Coturnix japonica: one gene and its partner. The protein of the gene in region 1 purifies or fractionates together with the protein of each later gene. This does not show direct contact. Links are inferred from orthologs where the notes say so. Each region holds a gene or a part of one and is shown on either strand. Other genes may lie near its edges.

Region 1 (4,273 bases):
AAATTCACTTTTCATACTACACAACCAGATCTGTAGTGATCACAAGTGGAAAACTCTAGAAGTGCTGATCTGCCAGTATTCCTAGTGCTTTAATGGAGTGGAATGTCTCAGTAATAGGAAATCCCATTTCATCGATAAATATATTGATGTAGACACAAAATAAATTAGAATATTTTCAGTTTGAAACTGAAAACTCTCATTGTTCTCTCACACTCCAAAACTCACTCATTCTCTGCACATGTCCCCCAGCTCTTTAATAATCTGCAGAAAATGTATTGATTACAAATGACCATTTCAAACCAACCATCATTTGCTAATAAAAGTTTCTAAAAATTAGATTTTGTATTTTCATAATTTACCAGCTCCTGCATCACGGAGAATAGTTTACTGAATCTATTTTAAAAACAGGTGACCATTTGTGTCATGGAAAAAGAACATAAAAACATTTATTCCCGGAGGACTGCTCAGGACAGTGATCAAATTACAAAATATAGTCTGATTTAAAAACCTAACAAACAAACAAACCAAAAAAACAACAAAATTGGTAGGAAAATAATATAGTAGTAAGTTTCTGACACCAGCAAATTCTGCTGCATCTCTAACTACAATTCTCTCCTTTCCTCACAGGTCTGTTTCCCTGCTGCTATCCAGACAGAGGGCATATAGTGATTTTCTGAGATCTACGTTACTTTTAGCTTTGATATTGGTTTTCTTTAAAGGGCTGGCACTGCTTTTGAACTCTTCATTATTTTCCAAGTGCACAACAGATTTGTCCAGAGAGCTTTTACTGCATCTTCTCTTTCCATCTACCCCAGTTACACTGTCCTGAGCACTACTGTGTTCTTCTTTGAGCATAGCTTGCTCTTCATGGTCAGTCTCTCGGTGGTAGAAGTAGTTGAAGTTGGACACAATAACAGGGACAGGCAGGGCAATGGTGAGCACACCAGCAATGGCACACAAGGACCCCACGATCTTGCCCCCCACAGAAACAGGTCGCATGTCCCCATAGCCCACAGTGGTCATGGTCACCACAGCCCACCAGAAAGCATCAGGGATGCTGGAGAAATGAGACTCAGGGTCATCAGCCTCAGCAAAGTAGACAGCGCTGGAGAAGAGGATGACGCCGATGAAGAGGAAGAAGATGAGCAAACCCAGCTCCCGCATGCTGGCCTTGAGGGTCTGCCCCAGGATCTGCAGCCCCTTGGAGTGCCGGGACAGCTTGAAGATCCGGAAGACCCGCACCAAGCGGATGACTCGGAGGATGGCCAAGGACATGGCTTGTTGCTGGCCTCCACTCCCATTGCTGCTGCTACCTCCAGGCTGCTGTTGTTCATTGGCCAATTCTGTGCCCAGCGTGATGAAGTAGGGGATAATGGCCACGATGTCAATGATGTTCATGATGTTGCGGGAGAACTCTGGCTTGCTGGGGCAGGTGAAGAAACGCACAAGGAGCTCAAAGGTGAACCAGATGACACAAGTGGTCTCAATGATGAAGAATGGGTCAGAGAGGCTACTCAGTGACTGCATGGGTGAGGAGTCTCCAGCTGTGGCATTCAAACCTCCACTTTGCGGGGGCAAGAACATGGGTATCTCTCGTTCATCCCTGAATTCAGGCAGAGTCTCCAGGCAGAAGATGATGATGGAGATAAGGATGACCAAGACGGAGACAATGGCGATGGCCCGGGCTGAGCTGGAACTCTCAGGGTACTCAAAGATGAGCCAGACCTGGCGCTGAAACTCGTTGTGGGGAAGGGGCTTGTCCTCTTCTCTGATGAAACCCTCATCCTCCCGGAAGCGCTCCATGGCCTCCTTCCCCAGCTGGTAGAAGCGGATCTCATCAGCAAAGACATCAATGGAGACATTGATAGGCCGGCGGAGCTTGCCCCCAGACTGGTAATAGTACAGGATGCCATCAAAGCTGGGCCGGTTCCTATCAAAGAAGTATTCATTTCTGAGAGGGTCAAAGTATCTGCCTCGCTTTGCTGGATCACCCAACAGTGTGTCAGGAAACTGGTTGAGGGTGCCCAGCTGAGTCTCAAAGTGCAGCCCAGAGATATTGATTAGCACCCTCTGATGATGCATTGCACCCCGGCTCGCTGCCTTCATCTCCTCCTCCTCGCTGCCTGCTGCCATGGCCATGCCCCGGCGGTGACCCCCTTCCTCCGGGGGATCCATTTCCGAAGCCGGCCCGGGGCACGGTGCGTTTGGTTGCGGTTGGGGTCCCGACGCCGCCCGGCCGCTGATGCCGCCCTCGCTGCTGCTGCGGCGCCTCCCGCCGCCTCCTGGAGGGGCAAGCGGGGGCCCCTCCCGCTCCTCTTCGACCTGCGGCGGCGGTGATGCCGGTGGGGTTCCCTCCTTGCCGTCGCTCAGTCTCGGAACAGACGGGGATCCCGCGGTGTGGCGTAGATCGCGCCGTCTCCGAGCCCTGCTGCTACCGCCGGCGTTACCGGCCGTGGCATCCTCGCCGGCCGGGATGGCCCCGCCACCGCCGTTCTCCAGAGTCACCAGCGCGATCTCCATGGGCAGCGGCAGCAGGCGGGCTCCGCTGAGGTGGCGGGCATTCTATGCACGACGCCTCGCTGCCGCCATCCACCTCCGGATGGGTGGGCGGCGGCCCTGCCCTGCCCTGCCCTGCCCTGCCCGCCTATCCCTCAGTGCTCGGCGGCCGAGCGCGGCCTGGGGAAGCCGTTCGGGGACCCGGATATGAACGAGCGATCATTCTGATGATTTGACGTCAGCGAGGATCCCTTCTCCCCAGCGGTGGCGGCGCCAGCTTCCCCCGGCATCGGGCTGCCGCAGCAGCGCCCCGCCCCGCAGGTGGGACCGACAGCATCCGTGCTCCAGCCCAGCCACTCCGTGCCCAAGCGGAGGGAATCACGGTGTTACCCCGAGCGGGTACGCATCCCTTGAGCAGGGGAAGTCTCCGGCTGGAATTGTCTCAAATGAAATCCAGAGCGCCTCTTGGTGCCTGCTGAATCCTCCTGCCTTCACAGCTTAATGAGAACAAAGAAAGGGATGGGATCTGTTTTGCTTTGCTCCCATCCTTTCCCCGCCCTTAACATGTAGTTCCAAAAGGTGCTTCTGAGGCCAGCAGATAGCAAACGTTACACTGGATTACCCGAATGTTAGCATTTATAATTTGGGACCATACTTTGCCTTCAATGATTTCTTAAACCCACATCCAAGGCTGACACACTTCAAAATATATGCATTTTATTAAAGAAAATGAATTGAAGTAGCTTTATATGATGACTTTGGTTACACTTCAGTAATATGATCGATGCTGTGGTCTTATTTCCTGGGTTCAAACTGTGAACTTCAAGGTCTAGAAGACAACATATTCTAAATATATACATAAACAACACAGGATTAAAACCTATACATATACATATATATATATATGCACAACATCAGTTGTAAAAGATGATACTAAATGGAAAAAACATTTTGCCTTCTAGGTGGCATCACTGCAGTGATATTTGAATCCTTGCAGTAGTAATGATATTCATCAAATGTAGAATAACTGGGATTAATGAGTTTTCACTTAATTTAAACCATTACCTCTGTTTATGAAATATGCCTAAAGATATTATAAGCCATGCCAAAACAGAAAACCATAATTATATTGAATGATTATTATAAATGATGATTTGTCTGTGATCTAAAAGTTGCCTCTGAGAGCTAAGCATGGAATCACTGACCTGCTCTGCCATTGAGAACTTACTCACACAAGTAATTCCTAGAAACAAAATTACAGTATATTTTCTAGAGCTGCTCTGAGATCCTGATGAGGAAAATGCACATTGCTAACTGACACAGTTGGAAAGCACAGCTATGTTCTCTGGGCACCTTCTTTGCAGCTCCAACATTTCTGAGAACTTAGGATGTTATCTGTGTATGTGGGTACAAGGGAAGAGGGGAGGAAAGGGTGGGAAGAAAAATCTATTCCAAAAGCAAATTTTAAAGGGCAATTCTTATTTAGCATTCCAAATTTTCTGAGTATTGTGAAATGAGAAGAGCAGACCATCTAGTAGGAAGCAAAGATATTGGAGAGAAAGTATGACATGCAGACATAACAAGTGAGATGTATGACTCATGTTTTAACCTGATGCTCTCTAATAAAGAATATATTTCTCCTTATACCTGTGAGTTAGCAAAAAACATTTTTTACCCTGAGTACATGCACATGTGCTGTCAGTTTCATACACTCCAGCACATCCATACCCAAACCTACCATTCTCTCTAGCTCCTACTGCCACTTATTTCTTGTAAT
Region 2 (4,354 bases), on another chromosome or scaffold:
GCTCATGGTCAGCCGGTGCTAATCGCCAATGGAAGGACCATCTGAATTTGAAAGACTAAAATCCCGCCCTTCCCCTCCCGCATTCCTCCCCAACCCCCCCAGTACAATGGCGTGAGGGCTGCAGAGCAGCCACAGGGATTGGAGCGGGTGGGAATAACGCGCAGCCTGCAGGGGGAGCCTCTATGTGATGCCGTAGCGTTGTGTTGGGTTTGGTTGTTTTTTTTCCCTCCCATCAGCAAAATATTGAATTTTGCAGGCCCCGAATTTCTGCGTTGCTTCCTGCTGTGTCGCAAGAGCACGCTCAGGGCAGCAGGGCGGGCAGCAATGCAGGAGCAGCACGGGCAGCGGGCAGCCTCGCTTTGCACCCAGCAGCACAGCAATGGGCCGGGCTGGGCTCAGCATCCCCTGTACCACCCAAGCACACACTCAGCTGCGGTGCTGCTGTCTGCATTGGCTGCAATGTGACACGCTGCCTTCCAGCAAGTGGCAGGAGTTTGGGAGCCCATAATGGGGGTTGGCAGCATGGGGTGGGCTGGGGGGGAACATGGGGAGAGCAGAGCCGTGATGGTGATGGTTGTGGCAGTGGGTCCCACACGGGGTGGCAGAGCTGTGCCATACCCGCACGGCACCGCACACCCATCCGGCCAGCGACAGGAAGCACCGTCACTCTCACCCTCCAACTGTGCTGATTCAACCCAGCTTCCTCTTTTTGCAGGGGCTGAGGCAGCGCGCGGGGCGAGGTTGGCGAGGCTGGCTCCATGTATCCGGAATCCACCACGGACTCCCCGGCACGACTCTCGTTGAGGCAGACGGGCTCCCCCGGCATGATCTACAGGTGAGCAGCCATGTGAGCGGATCCCGGGCAGCCCCTGGGTGCCAGCACCCCATATTTGAAGAGCCGATCCCTGCTGGTACATTGTGCAGCTCGTGGGTTTGGCAGCGACCCGTCCCGGCTTGGCTGCGCGGCGCTGCCCGCTCCCCACTCTGCTAACGCACTTTGTGGCATCTTTCTTCTCTCTCCTCCTTCCTTGCTGTCGGAAGCGCGAGGTATGGGAGCCCCAAGCGCCAGCTCCAGTTCTACAGGTAACCGCGTCCTTTCTTTCTCCCTAAAAACACCTGGGAAGCAGAGAAGGCCCCCAATGGGGCAACCCCTGCTGGTGCCAGGGCCCCATCTGAGGTTCTGCCAGGCCGGGACACCCCACATCCATGTGTGTTGGCTGTGCCATGGGCAGCTGCATGCTGAAGGACCCGGCTGGGGCATGGGAACCACTGGGGGGGTCAGGATGTGGGGCTGGTGCTGTATGGAGAGCAACCCGGGCTGTTAGCAGTTCCCAGGGGGTGCTCCAGGCACCCATCCAGCCCTCTCATCTGCTCCTTGCATTAAGAGAAATGTCATTAACTGATACCTAAGACCACAGATAGCTTTCTTTTTTTTTTACCCAACCTTTTACTGCCTAAAATTAAAAAGGCACTTTTCCCTGGCACAGTGTGCCAGCAGGGCGCTGTGGGCTATGGGGATGGTCCATAGGGGCATGAGGAACAATGCATTGAGTCTGTGTCCCCAAACACAGTGCGTGGATGGGGTGACAGTGGCGAGAAGGGAACTTGGTGCTTGCATTTCGGCTCCCTGGCGCTGCAGGGATGGCTGTGTCCCGTGGATGGACAGCTCAGCCCATGGCACCGCGAGGCGCCGTGCTGCAGCCGCCGGTGAGGGTCGGCTCCGGGCTGAGGAAACGATGCCAGCGTTCATAAAGCAGCTGCACATCCACAGGCTTTTAGTGAAGAAGTCATGAATAATTGAGCTCCTGTTCGCTAGGAAGAAAATAACCTAATAGGGCTAATGGAGCGCCGCTCAAAAACTTGACTCTGGGGGGACTTGTGTTCACCAATTGCTTTGGATGCTCTGCGCCGACACTCCCCTCCACGAAAAAAACCACAGCTGTGCCTCCCTTATAGCTGTCTGAGGGAACCCTAACAGCCAGAGCTTTCCCTTTTAATGAGCAGGAACCCCAGAAGCCGGGTGAGTCCGAGGCACCAGGGCAGCACTCGGGGCTGTGAGCGGGCGCTGCGCTCTCTACTGGGGGCTGCAGTGTAACACTGAGCTGCTTGGCTGGGGAGGGCTTCGTTTGGGCTTCTTATTGCAGTTGTTGTTGCAGGCTGTGACACCCTGGGCGATGGGTTGGGACTGAGGCAGCACTTCACACCTCATTCCCCTGTGCTGCTCTGGGGCCCACTGGGCTGGGGATGTGGGCACAGGGTGATTGCAGCACACAGAGCCCAGAGGGGGTGCTCCCACCGTGGCACATCACTGCCCGGCTGCAGCAGCTTCTCCAGCCCCGGGCTGAGCCGTTGCTTCTCGCTCTTCAGTTTGCAGAAAGTTTGTGCTAATGAGCTGCCCGTGGGTGCGCCCGGTGCTCTCCCTGCTGCATGGCGATGTTGCTCAGCCAAAAATCACAGAGGTGTCAGCTCAGGGCACGCCATTAATTACTGCCTCGCTGCTCCGAGCGGCTCCAATCGTCCCCCTCCGACTCCATCCGCCGCTTTAATTTAATTGCACTGAGATGAAGCCGGAGAAGCAGCGCTTTGCACTCCAACGGCTGCACAGTGAGGGGCAGCTGGTGGGGTTGTGTGTGAGATCCATCAGCTCAGAGAAGGGCTCAGTGCTGGCACTGCAGATCTGAGGGGTGCTGGAGGTTGGGGGGTTTTGCTTTCAGCCCTATGGCCCCACTGCAGAGACATGGGGACACACGGGGAGTGCTGTGCTCAGCTCATCGCCGCAGTGGGTGCTTCGTGGCTTTGGCCTCAGGTGGGGGATCCTCTTTGTGCATTTCCCTGTGCTTTAGGAACACTCTGGGTTCCTTCCCTGCACACGAGGAGCTCCAAAGCATTTTCAAAAAGCATTGTTTATTGCAGGAGCTCCCTGGGGTTTTTGGTAATTCCTTGCAAGCTAAAGCTCTTTCTTTCCCATTCTTGCTTTTTTCTTGAGGTCATACTTGAGTACAAAAGCGCCCTTTGTGCCATAGAACTGCTGTGAGATTGAACTTCACAGGAAAAGGAAAGGATGCCCCATGGCAGTGGGGTGCAGGCAGGCCTCACCCTTATACCTGTGCTGTGTGCACGGTGTGACCTCCTTCCCTTCCCTTGCTCGCTACTGTGCCGCATGTCCCGTTTCTTTGGCACCATGGCTTTCCTGCTTCAGCCGGTCATTGTGCTACCTACAGCCGCGTCCTCCTGCCATCCCCATGCCCTGCACAGCACTGTGGGGTCCGGGGACATCCAAGTGTCCCCACTGCCCGCTGAGCACCGCTGCTCACCCCGCAGCCCCCGCGCTCGGGCAGCAGGATGCTGTCCATGACGTACAGCGAGAGCCTGCGCAGCGTGGCCAGCCGGCACCACGCAGAATGGGGGCTGCAGCCGCCGCGCCGGGCGGATGCTTTGGAGCTGCGGCGGCTGCGGGATGTGCGTGCAGCAGCACAGGCCAAGACTTTGGAGGAGTTCCTGCGGACACACGGGCTCTCGCTGGACGGCTGCACGGCGCACGCCACGGGCATGAGGTACAGGTAAGAGCCGTGGCCATAAGTCCCTTGGCACAGGAGCAGGGTGGCAGTGGGGCAGGGGATGTGGCTGCTCTGTGTGTGTCCAGTGCTGAGCCGTGCTGCCCAGCATGGTGTGTGCAGGAGAGGCCGGAGCACATCAGTGCGTCCTGTTGGCACAGCTCAATGCTCTCACCTTCACTTTAACTCCAGTGTTGGCACAAAGTTGGTGTGTGCCAATGCACAACTGCACTGACCCTGCTGTGAAATGCAGCACCAGAGCACAGGGCAGGGGACAGAGCTGAGCCAGCATCCCATGGAGGGCACAGTGCCTGTGAGTGCAGGGCCAGCAGTGCGCCATTAATGTTGCATGGAGGTGCGGGCAGTGAGCGCTGCGTCGGTGTCTCAGCTTTCATGGTGCTGCTGGGGGAAGGGGGGAAAGCAGCCCCCGTGGAGGGCAGGGCAGCAGGAGCTTCCGCTTCACAATAAGCAGAGGTAACATTTACACCGTGGCAACGGCTCATTCAGTATTCATGCAGTGGTTATTTATTGATGGAGTGTGTGGGCACAGCCCTCGGGCACCCCCCCACCATAGGCCTGGTGCAGGGGTTGGAGGGGCCTGGTGGGGGCTGCTCCCTCAGATCTGCAGCTGTTCCTTTGGGCGAAAGCTGCTGACTGGAGCCTTAATCTGGGCTCAGGCTGCAGGCAGATTAACGCGGGGCTGGGGGGGCTGCAAAAACGCCCGGGGTGGCACCGGGAAGGCAGCGGCGATGCTCTTTGGTGGGGATGCGGCCGTGCTGCTGCAACGGGTGCGGGCTTCC

Evidence for each region.
Region 2: the proteins of potassium voltage-gated channel subfamily A member 5-like (region 1) and KCNAB2 purify together in Homo sapiens (co-immunoprecipitation; 3 studies listed by BioGRID and IntAct, counting the BioPlex papers as one, with this or other methods). This does not show direct contact. The link is inferred for Coturnix japonica from reciprocal best matches to the Homo sapiens genes KCNA5 and KCNAB2.

Annotation. Positions count from the first base shown.
Region 1 is NC_029516.1:67,514,960-67,519,232, reverse strand, and holds the start of potassium voltage-gated channel subfamily A member 5-like, read right to left. Parts: upstream 2,843-4,273; 5' UTR 2,521-2,842; coding exon 622-2,520; 3' UTR 1-621. UniProt on the Homo sapiens protein: Voltage-gated potassium channel that mediates transmembrane potassium transport in excitable membranes. Forms tetrameric potassium-selective channels through which potassium ions pass in accordance with their electrochemical gradient.
Region 2 is NC_029536.1:551,972-556,325, reverse strand, and holds the start of KCNAB2 (voltage-gated potassium channel subunit beta-2), read left to right. Parts: upstream 1-1,298; 5' UTR 1,299-3,342; coding exon 3,343-3,560; intron 3,561-4,354.